Oryzias latipes: one gene and its partner. The protein of the gene in region 2 purifies or fractionates together with the protein of the main gene of each other region. This does not show direct contact. Links are inferred from orthologs where the notes say so. Each region holds a gene or a part of one and is shown on either strand. Other genes may lie near its edges.

Region 1 (15,148 bases), on a different chromosome or scaffold from region 2:
GCAGCCATTGGGTCAAATCCAGACTCTTTCCAGAACTCACCATAGCCGCATACTGGGCCTGAGCGACCTGCTGCTGGTACATGGGATGCATCATCATCATCTGCTGCTGCTGCTGGAGCAAGACCTGCTGCTGCTGTTGCTGCTGCTGCTGCAGCTGGAGGGACTGCTGCACTGCCTGTTGGTACTGAGCAAAGTCATGTCCGTCAGAGCTCAGTGTGAAAACCCAAAACCTTGAGCTGTGCGTGTCCGTACCTGCAGGTACTGGAGTTGCTGCACATTTGCAGGCTGCTGCTGCAGCTGCTGCAGACGCAGATCACCTGGCTGCAGCTGCTGCAGGATTCGGTTCTGCAGACAGCTCGGCTGGGCCTGCATGGAAGGCTGTCCAGAGCTGGTAGTGGGGGCTGAGGGGTCCAAATGAAGAGTGTGGTGAAAACGAGCAGAAAGGCTTTTCCTGGGAAAAAGCTGGTGTGATTGTTGACAGAAAAGGAAGCTGAAATACTTCATCAAGTCAAAGAAATAAGAAATGCCATAAGTGACACCTATTGTAACCAAACGGTACAACAATAAGGATATTGTTAGGAATAATTAGAAACAGAAAAGTTAGAAACTCCCCTTTACCTTTTATTACACTAACTTTTACTTTTTATTACACTGATGGTTTAAACTTGATTCACTATGTATTATCACCTCAAAATTATATTACATTTGCACAACCAAGACTGTTGTCTGGTGACATTCCTTCAGTCTCCTCCCCTTCATCTTTGTGTGTGCTGGTGTCCTGGCAGATGTCTGTGACCTCAGAGAGATCTGACACTTTAAGCTCTCTGACCTTCGAGCACCTAGCCTGCAACAGTCTGTGGCTGTGATTTTCACATCGTTGTGCGTTGGAAGACCTTCTGAATATGCAAATGCAGGGCTCACATACCAAGCCCATTTCCCTGTTTTCTTTGTTCAGACTTTGAGCTCCGTTGTTTGGACTTTGATGCAGCAACCCTGTTCATCTGTCTGTAACCCTTCGTACAAATTTGTGCGGAGTAAATCTTCACTGAAGCTAAGTTTAGTCTCTGAGTCATTATTCATTCATTTCTGTGTGCAGGAAACTGAAAGGAACGAACCAGCCTAATTTACCTATTTTACAGTCCTGTTTAGAATCTCCAGTTTCCTCACAGATATTAATAAAAAAAGAGTCTGAATGCATGGATCAAAACAGATAATGTGGATGAAAACTTCAGTTCTAGTGAATAGAAATACTGCCATGACTGCTTCCAAACAGCTTCCTCCCTTTATTGGTACAGAATGAACAAGGAGGAGGTGCTTTGGTCTGTGCACGTCGTCTTTGCTTTGGCTCTGCAGCCTTGCTTTCATGCCAACCTTTAAAGCTTTTTTTAAAAAGCTGCAGTTCAAATCCAAGCTGGTTAGCATGAAACAGGCTAAACCATGGCTGTGCCGTCACACTGGACCCATCCGTTACCTTTCTGGCCGTTGCTGACGGCTGTGGAAGGCACGGTCATCTTGGCCGGGGTGACGGTGTTGGCGAGGGGGAGAACGTTGGAGTTTGCAGCCTTTGGTCTCTGTCTAGGAGCTATGGAGGTCTCAGTTGGAACCACTGAGTCGGTTATCCTGGACAGAAGAATTTGACCTTTAACCCAACAACCAACAAACCTCCAAACCGTCTGTGATGTTGTAACCAGCGTGGCGGTGTGCGTGGAAGTGTTAGCCTGCAGGAACAGCCACACCACCTGGCTTTTGTCAGATTCTTTTTGGCAGCAACCTCGCTGGCTGTGAGCGGCTCCGGGAGCGATGTGGGGATGGCTGAGCTCTGCAGAACACACACAGAACCGTCAACACCTGCACAGGTGCAAAAGTGCCAGTGGGGCGAGTGCAGACACTCACACACAGGTTTGGTACCGGATTCTCTCTTCCCGCTAACTTAAAGGCAAAGTGGGACACTTGGTAAATGTCTGGTCTCTTCTCCAGGTCCGGCTCCAGCATGTATCCTGAAGCAGACACAAAAGTGCATCTTTAACTTTGGCCACTTGGTGGTGCTGCTGATCCAACATTGAACAGGGGTGGACATCCTGCTGGGGGGCGTCAATCAAAGCAAAGTCAACCGGTTCAAACAGGCTGTTAGCGCGGCGGAACAAAGACCACAGTCCACTGTTCCACACGATCACCCGCTGCAGGCGGCATGTTGGGTCACCCGCCTCACGCCAGGTTGAACCGGCAGCCTTTGGAAGGGGACATGAACCAACATCAGCCACTCACTGATCAAGCAGTGCAGCCTGCAGGAGAACTTGGAGTTATCCGGAACGATGAAGCTCCCGTCACAAATGGCAACTTGGCTCTCCCCAAAAGGAAGAGTGAAGAAACACAGCTTGTACAGCAAGCATCCCAGGGCCTGAGGAGAAGAGCAGGAAGCCTTCAGGAGGACATGCATGTGTGGGCCCACACCACCATCACACCGTCTTTCAGGTGCTGGGGGGGGGGGGGGGGGGGGTCACAGGCTCTGGACTTTGCAGCATGAATGCAGAACAGAAAAAGCAGAAGACCAGGATTTTGACAGACGACTCAAATGACTGCAGCGTCTCCACAACAGGAGAATCAAACCTCTGGGACACGTTTGTCGAGCACATGAGAACCAGAGGAGCCGGCTCTGTGAGCCACGCCTGCACCTGAAGGACCGCCCCTCACCTGTTCCAGCCTGTTAGACAGGCCATGAAGGCCTTTATCAGAGTCAGAAACAACAGCTCTTCTGAAGAAGCATTGGAGCTGAGCTCAAGAAACCGAAGCTTTTCTAAAAATGACCTGTTCTGGTCCTCGTCCTCATGCAGACCTGCTCTCAGCTTGGCTCTGGTGGACGTCACCTTTCTAGGAGAATACGGTGTGTCTGTAACCAGCCAGAGTAAAGAAGATCTCTCTTCTTCATCTGCTACGATTGGAACAAACTCTTCACACAGCTGATCCAGTAGATCAGACAGGATCCACACCACAGAAACCTGATTCTGTTCCTTAGCTCAACATATAGAGTCACTTCCTGGAAAGAACAGGAAGTGTCACTGCAGGGGGAAGTTGCCAAACAGTACAGCTGATGTGATTCATGTGCAGTTGATGAGTCAGCGACAGCCACATTCCTGCAGCGACACTAAAACATCTGATTCCAGCTCTGACCACGGTGCCCAGAAAACAGCTAAAGCCCACTCTGAGCATTACCGAGGACACCAGCGTCTGATGACAAACACAGGAGGCTTGAATGGGACTGCAGAGTCCTGCTTGTGGTGTGGAGGACGCTGCACACCCAACCATATTTGGGTCTTACCCAAATATCAGCCTTGGTGGTGATGCCGGTTCCTGCATACAGGTTAATCATCTCTGGAGCCCGATAGGACAATGTGGTGTACCTGCAGGAGGAACACGAGGCGTGTCAGCGACGGGTCAAAGGTCTCCGGAGGTCATAACAACACTTCACCGAGCGGAGAACGAAAACATACCAGGACTTAGAAAGGCAGTTCATCATGGATCAGTGGAAAGATTTCAGGCAGAATGAATGATGAGACAAGAAGGGTTTGTTACAGAATATAAAGGAGTCCATCAGGATCTCTGGCTCACACGCTCTGATGAACCTCATACAAACTCTGACCTCTGACCCCACACAGGAGGGTCTCTAACCTTTCTGTCACTCATCTGCCTTGAACGTGGAGTCACATATTTATTCTCTCTTCCACTGATCCGTCTTGAAAGGTTGCTGCCATTATTGAAAACCAACTAGCAGCAAACATGGATGGTCTTGTGGGTCCACATGACCCGCACTGATGAAGACCAAATCAGACGTTTAGCCCGATTTACAAATCCTCCTTTTCCTTTAGTGAGTGAAGCATCCAGCAGAATTCCTGCTGATTAAAGCTGTGAGATTGAAGGGATCAAAGGTCGATTTCTGCCCATCAGAGATCCAAATCCATGGTGGAAATGAAGCTTTTATTGTAATGTTATGACGGAGTGCTGCTCCGAGCAGAACAAAGACGGACAGGAATGAAGCAGATTACCACCTGACACTGACACTGCATGGTTTGAGTCATGCAGAGAACCGCCATCCTCCTTTGTAGTCAGAGGTGTAGCCGAACAATACTCACTTTTTGATTTCATCCTCCACAGCTGTCACTCCATCCTTGTGAGGCAGTAAGACTTTGTGAGTGGCGCTGCCAAAGTCACACAGCACATAGTTCCCCTGGTCGTTCAGCAGAATGTTCTCCACCTGTGCAGGCGTTTAGAGGACAAACACAGGAAACGTCATTGACAGGAAGTGACGAGCATGTTCACAGACGTGTTGGTGACTGAACGTCAGAGTCCCATGTCTTTGCATGTGTCACACTCCAATCTTTACAACATAGAAGCTCAGAACATCAGCATTGATCCATGTCACCGTTTTCTTATTTTGGAGCACCACCACCAGACAAAACACGAGCCGTGTGACGAGGAACCTAGAAGAAACGCACGGCCAAGAATCAGAGCAAAAAGAACGCAAAGAAAAGAAAGCAGAGGAGGGGAGAGGAACCTAAATGACGCTACGCTGAGGATCTCTGATGATCAGAGGACCGAACCTCTGACAGAAAGCCGTTCATGCTCTGAGCGTCAGGGGACTTTTCTGCACTCTCACTTCCCCTGGCAGAGCGGGGCCGGGCCCCCGCGCTCCTTTGTGTCCCTGCGGCGTTACGCAAGCTGAGCCGACAGACAACAGAGGGCTGAAGGGACCGTTCCCACTGACGGGGCGCTGGGGGGGGGGGTACAGCCACAGCAGGAAATCATCATCAGTTGCTGAGCATCAGTAAATGCAGACTCAATATAAAAAGAACCACATGAACGGACGGTTGGACAGGGATTTCCCAAAGTCTGGCAGATCCACCCTGTTTTTGGTGAAACAAGGTTGGTAGTGAGAAATCCTGGGACCATAGTTCCTGATCACGCGTGACGCTTCAAGCTTGGCAGTGTCATCAAAACGCAGCCCTCTTCTGGCAGGAATGTGTGAAAGACGATGCAGCTTCTGCATGAGGCTCAGAATGTCCATCTTCCTCAGAAACGTCCTGGCAGCTCTTTGCTCAGTGGAAACATTTATTACGAACTTTGACCTTTGGAAATCAGAGACTAAAACACATCGATGCACTGCAGGGGCTGCTGTCGTCTGCAGCGCTGTCACGCTAAAGTCTGACAGGCGTCAGAATCGCAGGCCGAGTCACGCGCTGAAGCACGCCAACAAGAAGCAGAGCAGCAACTCTGGAGACAGACGCCGACTTCTCTAAACTCCCCCACTTCACCAGGTCTGTATTATATCCAAAGTCACAGATTGATCTAAGAGCCTGGATGTAACACTGAACCTGAGCGTTCACTTCCGAATATCAACGAAAACATGAAGTGTCCTTTCTGTGGAGACTCTCTGACCACAGTTGGCATGGTTCTCAGTGAAGGTGAAAAACCCTTGTAACCTTACAGCAAAACCATCCAAAGCTCAAGTTAGCTGCACACAGGTGAGTTCAGAGCCCCAAAGGGTGAGGAGAGGGGAAACGGCGTCTCACCTTCAGGTCTCTGTGGATAATGGGCGTCTTGCATTGGTGCAGGCGAGCCACGGCCTCGCAGGTGTCACAGAAGATGTGGAGGACCTCAGCTTCACTGAAGCCCACGTTTAACCTCTGGTTCATCTGCTTCACCACCTGACCCGCTGCAGGAGCACCAACAGAAACGTCAAGACCAAGGCTGGAGAACGGGTTCAACAAGGGACAGAAAAAAGCTGCAAGAGTCACCGAACAAGCCAGATAGAATATAGATCCAGGACTCTACGATTTCAATCGGTTCCCGCTCATAAAAAGTGTTTGAGCAAATCTCTGACCAAAAAGAGTCGTCTGCATTGATGCCCAAGTCTGAAGCCCACTTCTTTGTTGGCAATGGAACTTATGTTACACAGAAAGTATACGTTTTTAAACAGTTTCACCAACAAACTGTCTGCAAGCTTCACCGTGTCTCATTGAATTGTCTCATTTTGGTGGAACACACAGAAGACTTCAGACATTATCAGAAGACCATCGCTGACCCCTCCAGAGTCTGGAAGACCACTAAAGTTCTAGGGAGGCTGGTTGTTCACAGACGCCGTGTCCCAGCAGAAAAACTGAAAGTCTGAAGGAAGGAGAAGAGTTTTGCAGAAGTTCTTCCTCTGCTTAATCTCTTTCTACTTTCGTTTCATACTATCTGAGGTCATGTGAGAAAAGCAGAATCTCTCTGTTGTGTCTGAATTCCTGCGCTGTATGGCGCGTTCGCCGTTTTCTAGTGCTGTCCGAACCTACAATTCCAAAATCCAGAGCCCTAGAAACAACCCAGAAGTCTCTGCAACAAGCCAGTGTGCATCGATGCTCACTAGACTGGCATACATAGACCACAATGCAATGTGTCTGAACAATTTCTGCAGAAAAACTATTTTAATGTATTTTTTAATAAATCATCAATGTTTTAATCATCAGGACAGTTCATAAAGAGTCATAAAACACTAAAACACAATTTTACTTTGTGAAATGGGTGACGTCATAATCGCAGTTTAAAGACCAAAGCAGTGAGCGTGTGGTCGGTGCGTATTGCTTTTAAAATCCTGGGCACTACACCGCCCCGCGTGTTATAGTTTCATGGTAGTTGGAGAGACACAGACACAGTTAGAAGCTCTGTGCACAAACACAGGCCGTACCTTTGCAGAACTCCATGAGGATCAGGACCTCCCAAACGTTGTCTGAAAAAGAACTGATGGTGGAGTCCAGGTAGGTGACGATGTTCTTGTGGCCTGACAGCTCCTTCTACACACAAGACAGAGAGTTCAGGGCAAAACACTGAGGAGCACAAATGAGCAATACTGACCGGGGGGGGTTTAGACAGATTAACCCTTTCAACAGCAGAGAATCAGCTCCAGTGTTGACATTCTATCCACCATCGTACTGCTTTATTGCACTGAAGGTAGTTCCAGAGGATTCTGGAGCGGGAAAAGCAGCCTAGTGCTGATAACCAACACCGCATGGCAGTGAAGTGATTCTGCTGCAGAGAAAAGCAGCTAGACAACACCTTATGTTAGTAATGTGCCACTATGACATCACGTCGCATCAGAACCAGCGGATTCATGGCGATTCCGTGAACGGTCAAAGATTTACATCAAAGAGCGTGTTGTTCAGGTGTTGCCAGCGGCATCTTGGGTGAAAAAGGGTTAAACCCTGTAAAAGATGAAATAGTGAGATGTGTTGCCATTTGTTATCCTCCTTCCTGCCTCCTACTTTTGTAGGTTAATTCCATCCCCAGTTCCCGGCATGTTTGAGAGCTGTGAACACGGACACACCTGAGGCAAGTGCAGGGGTGGAAGTCCGTGTTCCAGGTGACGAGGCCGTGCAGACAGAAGCAGACGGAGCTGCAGGCGGATGCTCCTCTGCAGTCTGCAGCACTTTACTACAGCTCTCACACATACCAGAGGCCAACGTTGGCTACTGCTGTGCTCCTTCAGCCTCGCTGGGAAGCAGAGGCCTGTCAGAGCTGCTCAACTGGAAATACTGGAGTCTAAAGAGGAAGCCATCGATCACATGACCTCACGGGAACTTCTGCCACACACATCGCTTTGGAAGTTTTGTCTTCTTTTAATGATTTTTAGTGTTCATTTCAACATTAATGTTACTGTAAAGTGCACATTAGAGACCTAAAAGGGCAAGTTTATGGTCTGGATGAAAGTTGTATAGAAACAAGCTTGTTACTCCAGCATGTTTGTGACTTCTGTTAAACATAGAGGTACCTTATTCAATGTATAGGCATTCTTAGTTTACACAAAATGGAAATTCAAAATTCAAATATGAACACGTCTGTTCTGAAATCCCACCAGCATCGATAGTTTTAAAGCTGTCCCTGATTTGACTGTTGCTAAGCAACGTGTGCTTAACAAGGGATGACAGGAGGTTTTCAGGAAGTTATGGTTGGATTTTGTCTCCATCTAAATGTAAAACTGTTTCTGTGAGCAGCTTGTGTCGACTTATCACCCGTCTGTCCCAGCCCCGCTGAGCGGATCCAGAACATACACAGGTTTAAATTTGTTTATTGACTTCTGGTTTCTCAGCTCTCCTTTCTGGCAGCGGCCTTCACTTCCTGTTTGGGGGTTGGGCATAAGAAAGTGGGGGGGGGCAGGGGTTGGATTTGTTTGATTACCATTGTGGTTTGTAATGATTTGAGTTGTTTATTATTTTATGTCTGTTTGTTTACAGCAGTTTAATGTACAGTTTCCATGAAAATGTGCATTTCTGTTTCTTCTTGTGTGGCTAAAATGACTTTCTTCCTGGGCGGGGCCCACCAATTACCTGGAGCCCATCAAGGGAGAGGACCTGAGCGTGGGGGAGAAGAGGGACAGGCGAGTGTGAGCAGCCAACAGGAGTTTCTGCCTCCTCCCTAAACCAGGACCTCTGGTCACTCTACATTATGACTGGCTGCTCAAAGGAAACATGAAGTCCATTCATATCAGTGCTTGCTTGAACAGTGAAGTCCTGCTGGGTCACTTTCTACTGGAGATCTGCAGGTTACATATGTATTTAGAGAGATGCCTTTCACTACAAAGAACGTCTCTATGAAGGAAAGCACCGGAATGCAGCTCAAAAGGCTTCAGCTGAGAAGAAGATAACTGTTGCAGCTGAAGCGCTGGCTCGTGACCAAAGCCGTACCATGATAGTGATCTCTCTCTTGCAGACGTTCAGGTCCTGCACGTTGTTCACATACATCCTTTTGAGAGCGCAGCGGACGCCGCTGTGCGTTCGGGCCATGAACACCACAGAAAATCCTCCTGCAGGAAAAACATCGTAAAGTTTAGGCACACCACTCTTTGTGGATGAAGTGAGACATTTTCTCAGCATCATGCCTGTACAGCACGGCGTCCCGCAGCATTGCTGTGCCTGCGGTCGGTAATCGTAGCCCCATAGACTCCACACCGCCTGCTCCTGGACCAGGGCAGATCAAGCCGTCGCAGCAGGAAGTACAACAATATCTACCATTGCATCACTTTCTCCAGTCATTTCTACAGGAAACACAAAAGATTCCTTCCCCCATCACCAATTCCAACTCAGACAGGGTTACAGGGGGGCTGCAGGGAAGTCAGGTCCACCACAGGAACACAGTCTCTCTTTGGTTTCAGAGAAAACCCACACATGCAAACACAGAACATGCAAACACTGGACAGAAAGGACCCGGTGAGGAATCAATCTAAAGGTGGGCTGATCACAGAGGTGCAGAAGGCCATGTATGAAAAGAAAAGAGATAACAGCACAGTGCAATCATTTAAACTTCCAAAGTTTACCTTTCCCATCATCCATCTGTTTACATGCTCTCCCACTAGCTTACAGCCCCTTCCAACCCCAAGCCAACATTAGCAGTGTAACAAAAATGACCAGCAATAGCTGATCTATCATCAGTCCAGTTCTGATCCAGATTCCAGCTCAGACCGGGAAAACAAAGACGTTCATGGATCTGTTGGTCTGCAGGTGGATGATCAGAAAGGGGCGGAGCATGGATAAGCTGGCCCCGCCCATCACAGTTACTACACCACCACTCCGATCACACTGCAGACAAAGAGGTGTACTAACGTCTTTATGTTTGCTTTGACAATAGATCAAAAGATGATGGCGTGGGACTTTAAGGTTCGTTTGTGCGCACTTACAACAGCGAGTGTAACTTCAGCAAACATTATCAGATTAAACAGAGGGGTTAGAGCTGCAGCAGCGCTAAGTTAGATGAACTAAAACATGTTTCCTAGGGGCAAAAGTGGAGTTACACAATAGCTGCATGTGCAGATGAGCCACAAATTTAACAAAGATAAAAAAGCTGGAGTTGCGAGAGCTAAAAAATCTCCACTGCTCAGAGTTTGTCTGCTCCTTGAAACAAAAGACAAAATGCAGTAAAACAGCAGATACAGACACAAACAGGGCCAGACATGGACCATCAGTGTCTGGACGACTGATTTAATATGGCAGAATCGGTTTAATCAAATGAAAGCCAACAGAGCAACAGGAACAGGCAGTTAAGCAGGTGTAACAAAGCACAGGAGAACAAGTCTTCCAAAAAACCAACAGCTTCCTGGAACCACATCTGAACCCATTTGTTTTGCAAACTACAAGATGTTTTTCCAATTGTGTGTAGCCACGAGGGCCCAAGCCAGGGTTTCACTGTGCCGTCCCGAGCCCGGATAAATACAGAGGGTCGTGTCAGGAACAGCATCCGACATGAAATCTTTGACAAACCAAATACAGTAAAGCCTTGTTTTTCGCGGGGGTTACGTTGCAAAAAGAACCCGTGATAGGCAAAATCCGTGAAGTAGAAACATCTATTTTTTTAAACTATTATTATACAATTAAAAACTCTATTATACATTGAACAGACAGAATAAACCATTTTACAGGCTCAAGCATTTGTTTCACAGATCAAAGTACTTTAGAGAAGTTTTTTCAACAAGTAACTTCTGTACTGTCAAATAATAATTTTAATCATCAATGTGAACACACGGCTTCAAATTGCGGAGATTAGCCCCGCCCATTAGCCCCGCCCCCCGAGTAATTGGATTAACCGGGAGAAAATTTAAAATGATTATGACTAAAAGACACAGTACAGTGGGACAAATAGTGACTCAGGTGTGTTTCACAGCTCTTCAGACTGAGCCGCTGCATCCTGACTCCCCTCTGCAGTGTTTTCTTCTTCTGAAGCCCGCGGTGCAGCTGTGTTTGTTCAGGAGAAGAACGCAGTGATTGACAGTTGTTGTCGCTCTTTTTTCTCTGGGTTTTAGAGAAACTCCAAATTGCAAGATTATTTGCACATACGATGTAAATTTGGCAAGCTGTTTTACGTATGTGTACATATTAAACTACAGCGTTATTGACGCACAGGCAGAGAAGAAGCGGAGTGACTTTTTAGCCAATCAGAATGCAGAACACAATGCAAATCCATGAAAAGTAAACCGTGTTATAGCGAGGGATCACTGTAAACAAATCAGACCTATGACTTCCACACTGGAACGGTCAAGGCCCTGGTTAGCAAAGACCGCCATCTGTGCCGTCCACCCACGGCGTGCCCGTGGAAATTGGACCATGAACTATGGAGTATTGGTTAATTGAAAATTAAACAATATAGACTATGAATCGTTTCAGCCACAAACGATATGAATCAAATTGTTGTTGAAATTAATCATTACACCCCTGGTTTGCACAGCATATCTACCTGTAATCAATTCATAGAAGCAGAACACAGTTAGCATCTAGCAACAGTAACAGCAATGCAAAAACAGAACAATCTAGATTGGCTAGTTACTGAAAACTAATGCCGTTATTCTAAACAGGGTCAATACGATGACCGACTCAGATGCAATACAGATCTACTGTGATCATAAAAAAACAAGCCAGAGCCAACCCCCATAGTTATAATCCCAGATATGCAACACCTCGTGCCACATGTCCATCACTCAAAAAGGTTCAGAGTAAAACCACACCGTATATCAAATCGCAAAGAAAACACCGTTCTCTGAAAGTCGGACCATGGTGGAAAAAATACAAATATGACCAAATGTGTAACAATTGTCTTTATGTCCTTACAGACCCTTCTTTAATTCACTGGTGAGTGAATGTAGGTAAATGGTCATAATCATGCACAGCATGAACACCAAAACATGCGCACTGGCCAGCAGGAGAACAACAATGCTTTAGTGCAGGTAGTACAGTCTGCCAGACGAGTCCATTAGTGGCTGCATCAGCAGCTGGAAAAGGGGTCATTGGAAAAAGCCCCACCTCGTTCATAAGACCGTCTGTGGACGCAGACAAAGAGTTTTTTTTAACCAAGTCAAATTAGATCTACTGGATTGAACAGACAGAAAGTCTTGATGAGAATAAAACATAAAGAGGTAACAATGCCATCCATCTATTTTCTTAACGGGCTGTATCCCTTTCAAGGTCCTGGGGTTGCTGGAGCCTGTCCCAACTCCTATTGGGCAAAGTGGGGTACACCTTTGACGGGTCCCCAGTTTGTCCCAGGGCCCCCGCATTCACACACACCTACATAAACAGAATTTGTTGACAAATGGTTTCACCCATCACCATGAGTGGTAAAATTGCTTTTGTTATTTATGTTCTCTGAACACTGACCAAGAACTCCTCATTTCTTCAAGGGTCTGTAGACGAACCAGCACAACGTTTTCAGGACGTTGCACTCCTGAGGCATTGCCAGATTGCCGAAATTCAGGGATCGATGTGCACCTTAGATGGTAAAACAAGTTTTCTCCCAGGATGAGGAGGGGTGGTGTTACAGGAGCTGCAGTGAGCAAGCACAAAGGCCGCAAAGCCCACAACAGAACAGAGCACTGAAACGCACCACCATTCTCACAGGCTGCTACAGCACTACAACAAAGACACACATTGTGCCGGCTCATCACCAGTACTGTATACCAGTCGTTCAGACGGTGAGTTTCTCAGCCTCTTTAAAAGATTTTCAATGATGCAAACCATTACAAAAGCTGGAACACGTTTATTTTACATAAAAACTGATCGCTTTATTCTATCAATATTGCATTTCCTAGGTAAAAACTTTTCTCTTCCACATAGAGATATATGTAGGAGGTTTTTGAAGGGAAAGCTCAACTTTAATGTAGGAACCAGATTCAAAGGACCCCAACGCTAAATAGAAATATTCCAACTGAGTTCCAGTGTAAACATTTGAAAAATGTTGTGCTGCTGGAATTCGGTTTCGCGCCACATGTCAATGGCTCATAAAATGTGTACACTGAACATGAGTTACATGGCAAACTCTGAATGTGGAGAGTCTGACCTTGTGTTGATTGTCACGTTTCTTTCCAGGAAAGTGTTCAGTGTTCCTGATGTCCTGCAGACACTGAATGAGGAGCTTTTTGTCTCACTGTGCTGCAGAGAATTTCCCTGTAGCATAAAAATGCCAAAGTAGTTTTTGTTTGAGGAAGACAGCCGGTCATTTTAAAACACCCGTGTTTCCCCTTTATCTGTACTTGTCTAGGGCTTCTGATGTATATTAGCTTTTTAACCTACAATCTTAGTGCCAAACTACACCCAGTTCAAATCTTTCACCGCCGCAACAGAAGCATCCCAGCGAGTGATCAAGTCACAGCAACAATCCTGCAATGTAGACAAACCGACGTTGCTTTTCTAGTCAATAGTTTCACTGTTTTATACGTTATTGTTGAACCTACTACACAGAAGTGTTAAAAATAAAGAAGGTTAATAAAAGAACTTGGGTCAGTGTATAACTGTTTTTAATGTTTTACAAAAGTATCAGATCAGGCCTCGATATCTGTATCAAATGACTCGGAACCAAACGGGGGATTCGGATCAGCACGTCTCTGGTTTGAATGTCCAGGTTGACACGTTGGTTCTGATTCTCTCTAGTTAAACCAAAACAGAATCAAAGACTGAAAACAGTCAAATCTCAGGTGAGGTAAGGTTCAACTGCTTTCTAAAAGCTTTAAAAGGACAAAGAGCAGACTGAATGACGTGTGTGTGGTCAGGTTGTTTTTGATGACCTCTGACAGATCCTCAGGTTTTCCATGCAGACTGTCAGACGTGCATTACTCACCATGCATGAGGTGTTCATGTTCTCATGCTGCCTCAGCACAGAAGGGTATTTATTAACCGTTCAATTATCTTATCACCAAGTACAGTCTAATATAATATGAGTGAATGGAGTTGATCAATACTCATCAACATGCTTGGATGATCCTTCAAAATAAAACTCAGCTTGCCTTTCAACATCTTTAACAGATGGTGGGGGTCAGGATTACTGTGAATCTATGATGTTAAGACATATTGGCGCATTTCAAAACGATTACAAAGTAAATCCCAATGAATTCTCTCACAAAACAGAGAAAAGTTCAACCAAACTGTTGGTATGATGAGGAATAAATCACCCGTCTACCTTCCATTTGGTATTAAGCAGAGATTGATGTTCCACAGCTGTACACGCCACTGCTTTTGTTACACGTTCACAACTTAGGCGTGATGATGTGCTTCTCAGGTCTGACTGGAGCGTGTGCTCATCCTAGACGTGCACTGGAATGAAACGACCTCGGGACACTGACGCGTGCGTGGTGATCAGCTTTCTACCCTCAGACACATTGATGAGCAAAGGTCATCAGGCAATCTTGGGCTGTTTGGTAGCAAAACCACCGACGGCTAATGCACGTGATTATGTGATGACACAAACACATGACTACTAGTGAGGGCAGCTTTTCTCTTTATAATTTTGCTGAGTGTGTTCAGGCTTCCAGCCTGACATTAGAAAGCTTTACGGTGGAAACAGTCACTTTACGAGTCAACTTAACGATGGGTTAAAACCAGTCTCACAGGTGAACTGTAACCGACATTCACTAGCAAGCGCTAAAAACGATGTTTAACTAGACTTGAACTCATCTCGACTGTTCACAGCCAGGGAAGACTTTCAGAAAAACCTGTCTGTGTCCAAACTTCCTCGTTGTTTGTGTGAAAAAGTGAGGGACAGCGGGTCCGACATGTCCAAGGATGAGGATTACTGCACCCAAGAGCAACAACCGGATGGGCACAAACACCACGCCCACCGGAAATCAAGATTTAACAAAGCTCATTGGTCACATGATGACACTACCTGGCATGACATGTGTCTCCCTGGGGGGCCAAACCCTCACAGGGACAGCTGAAGGAGGATGTTGACAACAGCTGCATGGGGCTATGTGCTATGTGGGCGGGGGGCTTCGTTTCGGTCTATGGGGGCTGGTCCCGGTGAGCCTGAACTCATTACCTGGATTTATCTGGAACAGAACTTCCCTGATGCCCGTACCGAGAACAGCTGCTGTGACCCAGAAAACGTGGCGCACGGCGGGGGGAGAAGGTACCTACCCTCCGCGACCAGCTCCTCCACGGTGACCTGATACCGGCCCACCGCGAACACCTTCCCGAAGAAGCTGCTCGCCCCGGAGCCGGACACCCCACCGAGCCCGCCGCTCTCGGACTTTGGCATCCTGGAAAACTTCTTCATGATCCTGTCCGTCCACCAGCGGAACCTGGTCTCGGAGGCAGACGGAGCACCCCGTTCCCGGTAGTCTGCTGCGTCCCTATCTGGTTATCCG
Region 2 (15,718 bases):
TATTACAATATAAACGCAGATGATGAAAAACGGACAGAGAGTGAAATGATTTACAGCGTCATGGGACCTTTCCTACCTCCACTTTGATGGCACAGCGTCCGATCGCTCGAACCGCCTTCCGCACAAAATCAACGTCTACCTCTGTGGCATATTCCTTCAATTCAGCCAAAACCTGCAAGTAAACCAAGTAAATTACTTTAAATTCGACATAAACATAAACAACTTCATGTCTGTGCTGCTTAGATAACACACATGCTTTGGATTTTAACCAAATGATGACTCGTCTGCTTAAAGTAAAAACTTGCACTTTGTCAATCTGGAATCCATTATGTTTCAATCTTTAATAAGGTCTATATCGTGTTTAACACGGGTAAATAATCTACATAACAACGATCATAGTGAGATGCTTTTCATTTAAGATACCTGGGCGATGTTGGCCTGGGAAGCCAAGCGGATCATAATGTCCAGTTTCTCCAGTTTCACATAGATGGGGTCGTTGTACTTGACGAAGAACACCTTGATCTCTTGTTTGAGGATCTCGGGCCTACACACATTTTAGACAATAAATATTCAGTTTTACCATCTGGTGCTTGATGTACTTCTACTAAATTCTGACATTTTATGTGTTTTTTATTTCAAAAAAACTTTAGGCCACTTTGCATACTTTTTTAAATGGCAAAATCGCTGCAAAACTGTCAAAAGTACAAGATAAAAAAGCTTTTTCTTAGTTTTCTGTATTAGAAACTTAGTAGGTCCGATCACACACACCTCTTCTGAACAATGAGGTTGATGTTCCTCAGAGCCACATACTGGACCTCTGGTTCTCCAGAGAGCAGGGTAACCAGTGGAGGGGACAACTTCTTCAGCAGCATGTTGTAGTAGTCGGAGTCTTTGGGCAGCAGCTCTAAGAACTTCATGAGGACCTTGACAGCAGACAGAACCACTGCTGAGTTGGCATGAGACAGTCGGGGAGTGACTCGCTCACAGATGCTTCGAAAGAAAAGCAGGAAAATGTCAGCCAGAAAAAAAAAGAAAACAACAGCAATAGTGTACAGTAGATGAAAAGAAGATGGCGTTAAAGTAACCTTTGAGCTTCACGTTCATCCTTTGGGTTGTAGTTTGAGAGACAATCCAGGATGAAGATCTGCCCCCACTCAGTGCATTCATTTAGAGCCGTCAGCAGCTTGTTAATGTTCTGAGGGTTCAGGTCCAGGAGGTTGCTGTTGGGGTGAGACTCGCTGATCTCTGACAGGGCAGCAACAGCATTGGCCACAACCTTAAGAGCACAAGAGGATTTCAGTTTCACTACTAAGATCTTTACATTAACAGCACTAGCTTTAATAGCATCGCATCTGGCGTAAATTCCAACGGCGTAAAAAAATGTTTACCGGTACTTTAAATTACGAGAAGGGTAGCAGAGTTAATCATAAATGTAAACGTTTCCAGAAATGGGGCAGCAAGGCAAAACACAAATAAAAAACTACTTTGTGGGTATATTTTAAACAAAATAAATGCTTACGATTACATTTTGTTCACATAATTGAAAAAAATAAATGCCACAGTATCTTAATACAGCAGTGACATGCAGGCAGGGGAGGCAATGCTTCACCCGCCGTCATAAGATATACAGGCTACTGATGATTTTATAAATACTTGTTTACTAATCTGTGCCATCAATGCAGAGATCAAAATCTCTGTTTTCTGGGGTGCTTTTTTGTTCCATTACAAAAAAGGCTGGCAGCTGCGGCAGCATCGAGTGCTGCCTCACCCTGGAGGGCGCCAACCCTTCCAAACTGGGTTGATTGCGTGCCTTTTGCTAACTTAATTCATGCTACCAATATAATGCTTTATTTAAAAAAAACCATACATTCTAGACATGTTTAACATGTCTCTACTTTCCATATAACAGTTATGGGATTTATATATATATTTCCCTAATTTAGTGTTCAGATCTGACAAAAAGCCGCACCGAGAAGGCATAAGGCGAGGCAGGCAGTAGAAGGCGCTCGTCAGCTCATGTTTGTTTTTCTTTTGCCAATTCAATAGGAGTGTTATTTTATGTTTTGCTCTGACAGACTGAAAAAAATGGCGGATGTAATGTCCCAGCTCCAAAAGTCTCTGAAAATTGGACGTTCACTAAAAACAAAGACCAAAGCTGAGCTTTAAGAGCTTCAAAGTCTGAAAAAGGTTTTCAAATATTTCTAAAAGTAAAAAGAGGAGCAGGGTTTTGACACTAAAGTCACTGAGATTTTCGCCCAGAGGAAGACGCGTACAGACCTCATTTACAAGGAAAGGTTAGCTCAGTGAGAGAATCCTGTGTGTGCTTGAGGTGCGAGTGGGAGAAAGCATCCACCATGGTCTGTAGCATCCATACATTTTACATTCTTCTTTAATCCAATATGTACCTTGTTTTATATATTTATTTGGTATATTGTATATGAGAATGTGTGATTTCAGTCTGTGATTTAACCTTTTAATGGGTTTCGGCCTGTTGGCAAACATAACTTAATAAATAAATCATTTTCTGTCATGAAATATATAAAGGTATAATCTTATAAAGTAAGTCAGAACACACACCATGGGGTTTGAGTCAGCAATGAGATCTCTCAGAGAGTCCAAGAAACCTTGGTCCTCCACCATCTGAGCATTTATGTCGTGTAGTTTAGCGACGCAGACGGCCGCCGTCTTTCTCACATACGGATCCTCGTCTTTCAGACACTTCCTCAGCGGCTCACACAGGTATTCTGTTATTTTGTCCACTCGGATGCAACCCATGGTGCGGACAGCCAAAGCTCGGATTAGAGGGTTGGGGTCCTCACAGTCCTATATAGCAAAAGAAAAGAAAAAAATTAGATTCCACTGCGGGCAGATGTTTAAAAAGATTCAACTTGGTTGACTGGAAAAAACTCCTTTCTTAAAAAAAATTTAAAAGATACTATACACAGCAATCCCCATGTCATTTGGTTGATAAAGACTCCAGGTAAAATTACTTATTGCGGGACTTGTATTAATAAAAAGGATTTGCCTTGACAAAACTGTTGACAGCCATGATGGCCATGTCAGGCTGGCTCTTGGCGTAGTTCATCAAATAGAGGTAGACCAACTTCTTCAGCTCCAGGTTATCCGTCTGCATGCAGTTGACCACATCAGGGAACAAAGAACTGACAGCAAAACAAAAGGACGTGGTCAATATATAACATGAAATAATCAGGGGTGTTGTCTGCAAATTAATCAAATAAGAAAAATTAAATACAATTGAATATTTTTCATGTACCTGACATCCTTGCCAACAGTCATGGCTGCAATGACTTTTTTCACAGCTTCCTTCCTTTTCTCCTTTTTTTCATTGTTCAGCTCTGCCTTCAGTTCAAAGATCTCCCCTGTAAAATGAATAATACATCAACTGTTTTAAAATCGGATCTGAAAAGGTCAATATGAAAGGATTTCATTATTTACATTAGCTTAATTTGGAATATGTGTAAGAACTGGCATGTTTTCTACCCGGAACCACTTACCTTTTTTGTTTGTAGTGAAATATTTGGAGTCCGTCATGATTGTGGTCCCTAAAGGCTAAAAAAAAAAAGAAAGGTAAATGATTGTACATGTAGAAAATTACTCAGCAGCCTATCACAATCTTTCCTTTTTTTTTCTTTTCTTTACAAACTTGTTTCAATTATTGTTCTACTAAATGTCAATGCCTTTCAGCACAACAAATATCTAAAAAAAATCTTTGAAATCCCTTATTGTAACTTGAATAAAATGAATCATTTTTCTTCAATATAAACTTAATTGAAGGAAAATATTATATACAAAAACTATATCAGGGAGAAAAATGATTAAACTCAGGAAAATCCCAGTGAAAAAGGAAAAAGAAAACAGTGCACATAATCAAAAAAAAACAAGAGCAGAGACAGAAGAAATAAGTAGAGAAAAAAATGGGAAAAAGATGGGACTCTGCCAGTTTCAGAAGAAGATTGCAAAAGGTCATGTCAGGTGAAATAGGTCAAAACCAGGTCAAATTATTGGTGGGAATTTTGCTGGGAAAACGTCACAAGATTTCTTTTTTAAATCACTCCAGTTCAAAAGTGGCATGAGAGCAGTGGAGATGCAAGCTGGAGATGTGGAAGCACTTTCATATATTCTGGGACTGTTCAGCTGTTCAAAAAATACTGGGTTGAAACCCACACACATTTGCAGAAAGTGTTTAAGATTGCTTTTACGTGTACATTTGTGACTGCTGTTTAGTATGAACAAGACATGATTATGTGAATGAATGAAAACGTATTCAATATTGTTATGTTCTGCACTCCAAATACACATGAGAGTACCGTATAAAAATGTGCATATGTTTTATTAAACACTACATATCTTTGTAACTGGACTTGGGATGGATTTAACTTTTTGGATAAAAACGTACTTAACATGCTTGTACTTAACATAACTTGCTGGCAGCAAGTGCAAAAAGCTGCAAAACAAAAAGATGCTACAAACAGCAAACCCCAATAACAGAGGAGTGGGTCACTATACTCACAATATTGACATTATGGAAAAGCTTTCATTCTTAATTCAAATTCAGACAGGTTTTATAAGAAATGGTCAAATTGGACAGACTATGTTAAACCTGTCTGGACAGATTTTTTCTAAAAGTCGACTTTTAGAATATTTTAATAATTTATTATGATAACACAGTGTTTAAGAAAATATATACACAGTTTTATACTCTCATGTGTATTTGGCGTGCAAAGCATAACAATATTGAATAACTTTTCATTCAATGGCATGATCCTTGCCTTACACATGCTAAACAAGAGTCACAAAAATACACCAGGACAGAATCCCAGAAAATATCTCCCAATGCACAACTCTTTTCCACACCAACATATTGACTAAAGAGTCCAGCAGGGTGTAGTTTTTCACAATAAAACAGCCATTGTTTGGTTTTTAGATTGTTTACAGAAGTCCTAAAATGCATCACCAATAGATTTATCAGTAAGATTGGAAGAAAGCCCCATTCATACAACATTTTATTTTACTTTAAAAAAAAAACTTTATTGTACAAAACGTAAGTACAATCCAAAACACAATTTTGCAAAGTAATCTTCAGATATGCCTGGGGAGCATACATATTACATGCATTTTACATAAAAATATTCAGGTTTCTACAACCTTCATACAAACATACAGCTTTTTGATTAAGGCTTTTAGAGATGTTACTGAGATACATTTCAATTTGTTTGATTAACAGAGGGGATAATATAGAAGAGGAAGAAAATTTGCGTTTATGAATATAAAATCTGCCAAATGTAATAATAAGATTACTTATGAGTTTTTTATTTGAGTCCAAGTTTTTATTATGAAAGCCAAAAATTATATATTCAAATTTCAGAGTGAAGTTGGGGTGAATATGATTTCTGATCAATTGTAAACACTTTTTCCAAAAAAATTCTAATTTCAGTACAATTCCAAAAAAGGTGGCCAATTGTTTCTGGTTGTGTTTTGCAAAAGGTACAATTGATTTAATGCATCTTAGCATGAATTGATTGGTGGGGTAAATTTCGTGAATTATTTTAAAAGAAACTTCATTCATTTTATTATTTATCATAAATGTTTGGGTCACACTCCAACCTTTCCTCCAAATACCATCGGGAACAAAACATGTCCAGTAGGTTTTAGTACATGGCACAGAAATGACGTCCCAGAGAAATTACAAGTACTTTTATGTTTTTTGTTCTAGTGTGAGGGATTAAAGCAGATTTTTCCTGTGGTGGTGTCAGTTGCATCCATAGAGGGCATTTCTTCATTCCTAACAGTTGTTTTAAACATTTGGCATATTTCTTTGGAAACGGTTTCAAACACAATGGCATATTCTTTAGAAGTCACAACCAGATTGTATTTAGAGTTGAATTCAGTATACCTTAATAAATGCCCGTTCATGTTAAAAAGTTGGCCCACCAGTAGAATTCTTTTCTCAAACCAATGTGGGGAAAAACAAAGATTTTTTCTTGTATAATATTAATATTTGTTGTTCCAAATAAATAAGTTATGAGGAGAGAACTTGTGTTTAATAGTGCCACCCATGCAAGAACCATTCATACAACATTGGCAGTTTGTCTTTTGCAATAATAAATAAATATGATAGTTAGTGATCTACGGCTGAGCGGGAAATATCGGAGTCTTTACAATAAATCCACAAAGAAACAAAAGTAACACGTTTACCAATAATGAATGATGGTGGCTGCACGCCCTAACTTCTTCTACAACGGAGCGATATGCTGCTAATTTTTGCACATTAAGCAAATTTGTTTTCCGGTTTCAACTCGCCGCTCCGGTTTGAAAGCTAAACCAATAATCTTTTACAAGTTGCGACAACAAAATCGGCATTTTTCACCGTTTGTCCTCTCCGAAACAAAACGTTAGCTAGAGTTGAGCCACAGCCGTTACACTTCGCTAGCATTAGCTAAAAAGGCTAACCATCATCGTCCTTTACACTTCAGTGACGAAGTGTCAAAATGCAAATTTACACAAATGTCAGGGTACTTATTTCGACAGTTTCTTTGCAACTGTATGTGACGCGTTTATTTTCAGTCGAACCTCCACATTGAAATGAATAGCGAGAAGCGGCCCAGTTTCATCACATCACCGACCGACGAACGGAGCTACTCTGCCGCTGGACTGTCACTGTGCCACCTCCCTCAAAAGTATAATCAAAACAAACGTGTAGATATCTACTTGTATTTCATTTTTAACAGTTTCATGTTCAATACCTGGCTGCGGTTACGTGAGCCGGAAAATAGTCCAAGAGGTCGAAGACGTAGGTTGGTCCTGTGCTTGGTGGGGAAAAAGATGGAGAATCGGGATATAGATGGTGAGTTCACGATCGTAGGAAACTGGAAAACTTCCTACTGGAGTGCAGAAAAGTGGGCGTGTGAACATGAAATCAATTTTTTTTTCATGATTTGGAGCACAAACTCTGACCCAACCGTTTATTTTAAAACAAAAATGAAGCTTAATTAATGACAATTTTTTAAGCCATGTTCATGTTGGTGTTTTTATTTGCTAGTTGTTTTGTTGTTTTAAACTATCAGAGCATCTTACTTTTAACAAGTAAACGTGCAAGACTGCAGGTGTTTATATTATTGATAGTTTAAAAGAAAAAAATGCAAATTACAATCTTTTTTACATAGTTAAAGATTAAATTGCAAGCACATAAAAGCCTTTCTAACCTAGGTCAGTGTTGTAAATCCTCATAAAATCAAAGAACACGTTCTCTAAAAATAAAATGCATTAGTTTCTTAACTAAATGACGCTTCACAAAAGATAAAAATCTATTTTTTTTTCATTTGATATTCACTGAGAAACAGCATACAAACAGCAAAGAAATCAATTAAGCTTTATCAAAAGCCCATTAGGGTCAACTACCACAATCCATGAAACCAATACTTTATTTTTCACCTGTAACTTATATACAGTGTGGCTTCAAAATTATAAAAATGACATAAAAAGTTGGGTTTGTTTTAAAAAAAAAAAGGATGTTGCTTTAATTAAAATAACAAATGTATAACAACAATGAAACTTCAAATATTTTGTAGCAAAAACATTTATTTGTAGAATTATATGCAATAAAATGCAAAAACTACCCCAACAAATTAAAATCAGCTGATTTTTTTTTCCTGACAGTAATCCTGAGAACATGATCTCTTTTAGCCAAACTGGCATCGTTTTTAAAATCCTATTCTGAACCAAGCACCATTCATCCCTGTATCAAGTATAGCAAAAGAACAGATGCATAAATTGTGCATAGGCTGATCAAATGAGAATGACGAGATCCTTAAGACCGGCTCTAAAAAGAAGGAGAAGACTATAGAGATTGCTTGATTTGTGAAAAAGATGTTTCAGGAGGATTTCAATTTCTATTTTTACAGTAGACTGTAACAATAGTTTTGTACTGTTAAGGGGCAGATCAATAATAATTTAACTGAGTTTAAATGAGAAAAAAGCTAAATGTCTTTAACTGAAAGTTGGTATGGTGCTTCATGGAACCAGGTTAAAGTAAAGCAGCAGAGGGTCAGGTAAATTGAGATTAGCTCTGAGAAGATCCTTTTGAGGGACATGAAGCAAGAGTCTCTGTTTTGCCCCAAATAGACCCGTTGATGTAGGGAAACGACACAAAGGCTTTCCTGGTTAGTGGCTAATTCAGCTTCATTCTGTTAATCACTAGGCTATTTCTGACAGTAAAAAGTAAGCTTTAGTAGATTTAAACAGCACCAGAACATTTCTCGTATCTGCGTACATCAGTAGGTACTGGCAGAACATGAGCGCAGCAGCTTCTGTAGAGGGCAGGAGGTGAAAAGCAGCTTAGAACTTGTAAAAGAGTTAATTGCAACAAAAAAAAACTCCCGAGTGGATTTTCAACAAGTTCCTTAGCCATTAAAAACTGCTGTGAAATTTGCCTGTAGTTTCTAAGGCAGGTGTGGTCACTTTTTCCACATTTTGGTGGATTGATGTATGTTTTGCATCATTACAACCTGACAAAGTGACTTATTAATCCTTAAAACATGAAATGTTCCACAGATGCTCACTGGACCGGTCACTAGAGAGTCATCTTTGCAAAATTCTGAGTCTGTGCCAGGATCTTCTTCCACTCAGTCCCACTGAAAGTTTGGTTTTCAGTCTCATGCTGAGGATTCCTGTTGGAGTTGGGAACCAGTGTTTATTACGCCTCTCGGAAAACTTTCTCTGGCCTCCTGCATCTTTTTCCTCGCTCTCTGAAAAGCCTCTGACAGAGAAAAACATGAAACGTGTTAAATGAAACTATTATTAACATTTAAATACAGCACATTTTAAATCCTAATTGCATCCCAATAGCCCAACAAATGTTGATCCCTAAATAAAGTTCAGACCTCCAGAATTTCAGTGCAAAGAGGCTTGGAAGTCAAATGGATTTTTTGTTTTTTTTTACCCAGAATGTTGCAAACAGCTCCTTGTTGACTAAATCCTCCCAAATGCTCAAAAACCTTCTGTCTCCTCCTTTTCAGAACAGCAGCATCCACAAATGCCCTGAAATGTACACACGGACACAAAAGACCACTGTAGTTATGTTGCTGGCAGACTGAGACCTGTTTGACGCTTACCTGACACTCACCTGGCTTGCTGGATGCAGTGCAGGTTAAAAGTGACGCTTCCTGTGGTTACAGTGCAGAAACCAAAGCGACTCAGCCTGTCCCCCTGATACAAAAATGTTAGAGAATAACAACAAAAAACATACACATACTGTAAATACTAAAACACCTTTGTTTCAATCATGTATCAAAAGCAAGTCCCTGTTTATCAAAAACCCAAAGAAATCATTTTTTTCAAAGTCTGTTGGTTATTCTGATATTTGCACTCCGTTAAATGGTTTCCACCAGAATGTCACAGTAAATGCAAATTATTGATTTTTTTATTCAAAAGTGTACAATTTAATTCAATATATAGCAGCAAAAATTAAAATAATCATCAATTTGTTTTCAGATTTCTATCCTAAGTCCAATTTTTTGGATTACTTAAATAGTGATTTAAAAAAAGAAAACGTTTAATTTTTGCTTTGACAAATAATATTCACAAAAATGTATTTCAGAAATGGAAGAATCAATAATTTTATTGAAGTTAGGATTGACTCAATTTCAACTGACAATTGAAACCCAGCTGCCCAAGGAGTATGTATCGATAAAATCACAACATATTTATTTAACTTTATACCTGATAAAAATCAACATCAATTGTCTAAAACTTTGTTTGAGCCAGCTTTGATTCACCTTGAATGTTCCTGGAGTTCTGACATAACTGTCATCTTCAAGCTCAGCAGAACCTCCAATAAAGAAGCGCTTCATTGCAGACACAGTCCCTGTCTGAACAGGCCTCCATGTGTGACATGTCATGGTATGTTTACCTGGTATACAAACACAAACAAGATGTAGAAACACTAACCATTTAGAAATCCCTTGATTAAATGTGAACAGTAACAAAATAAACTGAATTTAAATGAGATTTCAGGAAATACATCGTACCGGGCGTGGCAGGAAAAAGCAGATAACCATAGCCTTCCGTTCGATAGCGCTGCCAGAAGTCCAAGGAAAGAACCTTGAAGTAAATCACTGGCCACTGAGGAATGCCTTCTAAAGTAAGATAAAACCTGGATTCATAAAACATAAACTATGCTATAATACTTAACAGCTGATACTAACCTTCACCGTCTTTTTGCTTCATATAAAGAGCCTCAAAAGTGAAGGGATAGCTGAAGAAAGCCACATCTTCCTGTAGACGGAGAGTTTGTTGAGGGTTTAACAACTTCCACTCAAAAAAGTGGTTTAGTCTCTTACATGCAAGTTGTTTCTCTTTCGGCTTTTCCCATCAGGGGTCGCCACAGCGAACGAGCCGCATGGTAAACTTGGCAATGTTTTACGCCGGATGCCCTTCCTGACGCAAGCCTCTCAAAGCAACCGGGCTTGGGACCGGCACAGAGGTAGAGAAGGGAACAGGGAGCAGCCCGGATTTGAACCTGGGTTTCAATTCAATTCAATTCAATTCAATTTTCTTTGTATAGTCCAAAATCACAACAACAGTCGTCTCGATGGGCTTCGAAGTAAAACATGAACTTCCACAGACGGAAGGCGCCGCAAACCAGCACGAGCTAAACCGGCTCCCTAGTCTCTTACATGCAAGCAATCAAGATTTTTTTTTTTCTAAATGTAAGCCATTAAGTATCAGAAAATATACAGGAATGCATTGTCAGTACAAAACCGAGATGCACCTTAAAGCAACAACCACTTGACAAACTTGTTTTTTGTCTCTACACATTTACAGGGCCTTTTTCCTTTGGGCATCTAGCTTAAAAGGGACGCCCAGTCAAGACTTGCACATTTGACTTCAGTTGTACAGCAGATGCCAAACCCTGTTCTTTAACCAGACTTGGGACAGGCACATGGAAACACTGGAGAGTGCCCACTGTGTGCCCGCAGTCATTTACAGCACATAGTAGTCCCAGACAATCTCTCATTAAAGAAACAATCAGGCGTTACCCCGGTTAGCTTCTGGGGACTGGTGTGTCCAGGGTGGCAAAGCCGTTTATGGATTCTTTTATTTCCAGTTACAGAATTTTGCAGACAGACAGCAAGTTGTGGCTGAGCTTTATGCTTTAACTAAGCCTCTGCTGCACTCTCCTACACTGATGCTCTTACTTTTCCAGTCTTTTAAAGGTATGTTTCGGCAGAGACGTTCATTGTCGACTCAGCAATTGCTAGTCTTGAAGACTTTTTTAGATAAACTGTTGTGGAATTGTGTAGCTTTTCAAGCTAAGCGTATGCAAAACGTTCACACCTTTTCAAGAGACTTGGTCCGACAGGTCTGGGTGACCTCTGATAGAGACTGAGAAGGCAAACTGGACCAATCTGAAAGAAAAACATCAGTTACAGCTAAAGAGGCAAAAACAACAATCAAACAACTACTGATACTTAAGACTTACTATTGGGCAATTCCAAAAAGAAGTGTATGTACAAGTTGTCATATTCAAAGCCTTGAGCTGAGACTGTAAAAAAATAGTAGTTATTAATTCTAAACGTGTATTATATATATATAACTGCTAAAGTTAGCTCTGCCTTTTGACTTACCTATTTCTCCGTTCATCAGGTAACGCAGTGTACCTGCAGGAGGCTAAACAACACACATCTCATAGCTCACAAACCTAAATACAAGTCAACATTTACTCAAGTGATAACTATCCTTAAACCTTAATCCTTAAACCTTTTTTTGGCTAAAACTCCTCAAATGTAAGAATTTGCTCTTTAGTATATAGTTGATAGATCATAACATACTTGTCTTTTTTTTAGACCATGGTAAGCATTGAAAATTTGAATTAAAAACGTTACATTAAAACGCCTTACCAGCAATTAACGACATTTATTCAACGGAAACAATAACATACAGGCTGAGACTGCAAGAGTCACAATAACACCGAATGTGGAAAAAATGGACACTTTTCAACAAATAGACACAGGATTGACCTCTGTTTTGAATGTAGTTTGTGGTTTGTTTTCATGTAACAAAAAATCAATAAAAATAAAGTTTAAAACAAAAAACGCCTTACCATTTCAAAGTCCTGTCCAACAAGACCACTGAGGAACTCTTTGTGCCTCACATACAGCTATAAAGAGGAGGGACAAAGTTGATCCTGATTACAGCTTTCATCTTCCATTTTAGCAATAAAAATGTTCTGAATCTCTTTCCTGGTTTATTAGAAAATGCTGATATTGACTCACATCTTTATACATGTTCTGCTCCTTGTTTTTTTCCTCTGGCTTCATGCTTTTTGATACGTTCTCAAAAGTAAGACGCCATATTTCTCGGTTTTCTCCCTCAGCGACAATCCTGTCCAACGACACAAACGTCCGGTTAAATGTCTGATTCACTCTATTATTTTTGCTGTGGTTTTAAATGTACTTTGCTTTTTTCTTTTTTTAAACATACAATCGTTTTAGGATTTGCAGCTTACTGCTGCCATTCTACTCATCCCTTGTGCTATCCTAGGCACTTTACCATTGGGAGTTGGGTCATCTAGACCCACTATTCAGTGCTCTGAACTTTTTTTCTTCAATGATTTGTGATCTTCACTGGTGTCCATGGATTACATGAAATCTTTCCACCTTTATCCACCTTTGTCATGGTAGGAATTACACGTCAATGCAAGGGTGGGGTCATCTAAGATAGCACAAGGGTTAAATGATACGCTAAAAAATGTAGGATTCATTCTCAGCCATCACAGAAGCCTTGTAAACTTGCCTGTAGGGCTCTCGGCCTTTGTTGAAGTCAGGTTTTACAACTATAGTTCCATGGCCGTCGGTTTTTATAGTTATCAGCAGGCACTCGTTCTCTTTTTGACCAAGCCTGAAAATTCACAATAAACATCCTGTCAAATGGTTAGTAGAGCTTTGCACTGGCCAGCTCTGCATGTCATGAGATTAAAAAGTTTACCTCTTACAACCCTTGTGCTGTCTTGTGGGGTATGTGCATCTGGACCCCACAAAATAGCACAAGGGAAAATATCATACAAAACATCAATGATTTGTCTGGTTTCAGATGTAGAAAATACATGTAGAGAAGCTTTATCCTCAGTCTAAGTACCAATAATAATTTACTTAATTTATATAGCACTTTTCGAAAACGAGATTACTAAATTCTGTACAATTAATATGAGACAAAATCCGGATTACAAACAGTTTACAGTATGTAGTAATAAAACCCAGCACACACACAAAACAGTGATAGCAGTTAAAATCAATGAATCAATAAAAAAAAAAAAATTTAAATAAATCCTATGTTTAAATTTAAGAACCGGTAAAATCATTAAAAGCACTCCTATAGAGGTGGGTTTTTAAAAGAGATTTAAATAATGGTAGGGACCCAGCGAGCCTGATCTCTTCAGGGAGACTGTTCCAGAGTGTTGGGGCTCTTACAGCAAAGGCCCTGTCTCCCCTGATCTTCAATCTAGATTGTGGGATTGTTAAAAGGCCTTTTGCCGAAGATCTAAGATTGCGACCAGGTACGTAAGGAATGAGGAGATCGGCTATATATTTAGGGGCCAGACCACAGAGTGCTTTAAATGCACTATTAATGCATCATTAAAATCTATTCTAAAATGGACTGGGAGCCAGTGCAAAGACGCTAAAACTGGAGTGAGGTGGTCTCTCATTCTGGTTTTGGTTAGGAGTCTGGTGGCCGCATTTTGGACTAACTGGAGTTGATACACACTCTGCTGTGAAAGACATGTGTAGAGTGCGTTACAATAGTCCAGACGGGAAAAAATAAAAGCATGAATCACCATCTCAAGACATTTTTTTGATAGGAGAGAGGTTATTCTGTATAACCTTTGTATTTGCCAGAAACAAGATTTGACCACAGATTTAACATGGGTCTCCCCATTCAAATTGGTATCAAATTTCACTCCCAGATTTCTGCAGCTTGAAGAAACATTGTTAGACAAAGACTCCAATTTCTGAGCCACACCATTTCGGGCCTCAACTGAACCAAAAATAATAACTCCAGTTTTGTCCATATTCAACTGCAAAAGAATTTGGGCCATCCAGGTTTTAATATCAGCAATGCAGCTATTGAGATTCTTCAAAAGACCATGGTCACCAGGTTTAAAGGATAGGTAAAGTTGAGTATCATCGGCATAAAAATGAAAATTAAGGTTATGTCTGCGTATTACCGTGGTAGCATGTAAATTGAAAATAACAGAAATCCCAGGACTGAACCCATGGGGAACGCCACATGTCATTTTCACCTTAGATGAGCAAGAATTGCAGATGAAAACATTAAAAAAAAACCTGTGTCCGATAAATAAGAATAAAACCAGTTAAGAACTGTGGCAAAAAAAAACAACCCAAGATTTTAGACGTTGTAATAAAATTGAGTGGTCAACTGTATCAAATGCTGCACTGAGATCTAAAAGAACTAAAATCGCGCTCCTCCTCCTTCTTTTCACATTCCACCATCCATTTTAGAAGAATATAAACACTCACCTGAACACAGGTGTTAGCTCACCTTTGCACTAATAGTTTGCATGATTGAATGAATGAAATATCTCACACTAGTTGGTTTAAAGGCATAAGTATGCGTGTGTGAACACTATCTGTTTTGTGTACATGTTGGCATGTGGACATTTTTGCAGCTAGCAGGTGTGTTGATAACATTTGAGTGTGTGTGGACAGGCCCCGCCCTTTTTGTACTACATTTGAACCTTACCGTAATGATAAACAACCAGTAAACCTGTCTGCTCTATGCTGCTTCATGGTCTTACCCCCCTTCCCCTCCTATTATCACCCTCCTACCCCCCCCCTCTCTCTAACGTCCCTCTCTCTTCTTCCCTTCTTTCATTTTCCGTCCGGTCCAACACCAAAGATTTTCAAACATGATTGAAATTAATAAAGTTTGGCCTCAATTACAAAAGGGGTTTATTCAGACATACCTTTGGTTTGTCTGAAGATTAATAACCCCTCTTGTTAAAGCAAAATATGTCCAACACAAGAGGCCCTCAGCTCTCATCTGCCTGCCCAGCTGTTGGACAGGACAAGTTAAAAAAAAAAAAAAAAAAAAAAAAAAAAGAACTAAAATCGATAGTTTTCCTGAGTCTGCAGCCATTGAAGGGTCAGTGATGGTGATGAGATAATAGTTTATACATATCTTGGCAAGGAAATGGAAAAACAAAGAATTATGGGTCATACCTTCCAGGAGGGCCCAGATCCCCCATGATGTGCATAGTCTGCATGGCATTATTCACCACACGACTGGTCCTCACAAACTCTTCTGTGGGCTCCCAGTTAATAATTCTAGTTTTAGGAATGCTACTGTCCCTGCAACACAAGCCAGTGTCAAAGACAAAGTGTACAGCTGAGTAAACAACCTTTTGTTAAAGGCTCGCCACTATGAATTTATTCTAATTTGAACTGCACTTACACATTTACAAATAGAAGTCTAAAACATTTTTTCTGTCTATTTTAAGCTTTAAAAGTTCTTTTGGCTCATCTTTTTCCTGCCAAAACAGACGTTTCACCTACATGGTTCGCCGTTCTTGTCGTCTGTTTTTGACAGTAGCCATCCTTTCAGCCAGGAAGGTGGGACCTGTTTTGGTTGTGGTCAGTAGATCTGTGTGCTCCTGTAAAGATTTAAAAAAAAAAAAAAAAAA

Evidence for each region.
Region 1: the proteins of AP-1 complex subunit beta-1 (region 2) and bmp2k purify together in Homo sapiens (affinity purification with mass spectrometry; 3 studies listed by BioGRID and IntAct, with this or other methods). This does not show direct contact. The link is inferred for Oryzias latipes from reciprocal best matches to the Homo sapiens genes AP2B1 and BMP2K.

The regions. Positions count from the first base shown.
Region 1 is NC_019867.2:32,754,131-32,769,278, forward strand, and holds part of bmp2k (BMP-2-inducible protein kinase), read right to left. Parts: 5' UTR 15,058-15,148; coding exon 14,919-15,057; intron 8,831-14,918; coding exon 8,712-8,830; intron 6,825-8,711; coding exon 6,719-6,824; intron 5,708-6,718; coding exon 5,565-5,707; intron 4,250-5,564; coding exon 4,128-4,249; intron 3,399-4,127; coding exon 3,317-3,398; intron 2,399-3,316; coding exon 2,266-2,398; intron 1,998-2,265; coding exon 1,894-1,997; intron 1,820-1,893; coding exon 1,740-1,819; intron 1,621-1,739; coding exon 1,472-1,620; intron 402-1,471; coding exon 253-401; intron 185-252; coding exon 41-184; intron 1-40. UniProt on the Homo sapiens protein: May be involved in osteoblast differentiation.
Region 2 is NC_019872.2:25,016,514-25,032,231, reverse strand, and holds the start of AP-1 complex subunit beta-1, read right to left. Parts: upstream 6,896-15,718; 5' UTR 6,765-6,895; intron 3,571-6,764; 5' UTR 3,553-3,570; coding exon 3,516-3,552; intron 3,381-3,515; coding exon 3,275-3,380; intron 3,162-3,274; coding exon 3,026-3,161; intron 2,824-3,025; coding exon 2,578-2,823; intron 1,277-2,577; coding exon 1,086-1,276; intron 991-1,085; coding exon 769-990; intron 545-768; coding exon 424-544; intron 173-423; coding exon 77-172; intron 1-76. Other genes in the region: mks1 (Meckel syndrome type 1 protein), read right to left, coding at 8,673-8,776, 8,960-9,057, 9,143-9,225, 9,795-9,928, 10,047-10,154, 10,224-10,293, 11,356-11,426, 11,501-11,563 and 6 more. UniProt on the Homo sapiens protein: Component of the adaptor protein complex 2 (AP-2). Adaptor protein complexes function in protein transport via transport vesicles in different membrane traffic pathways.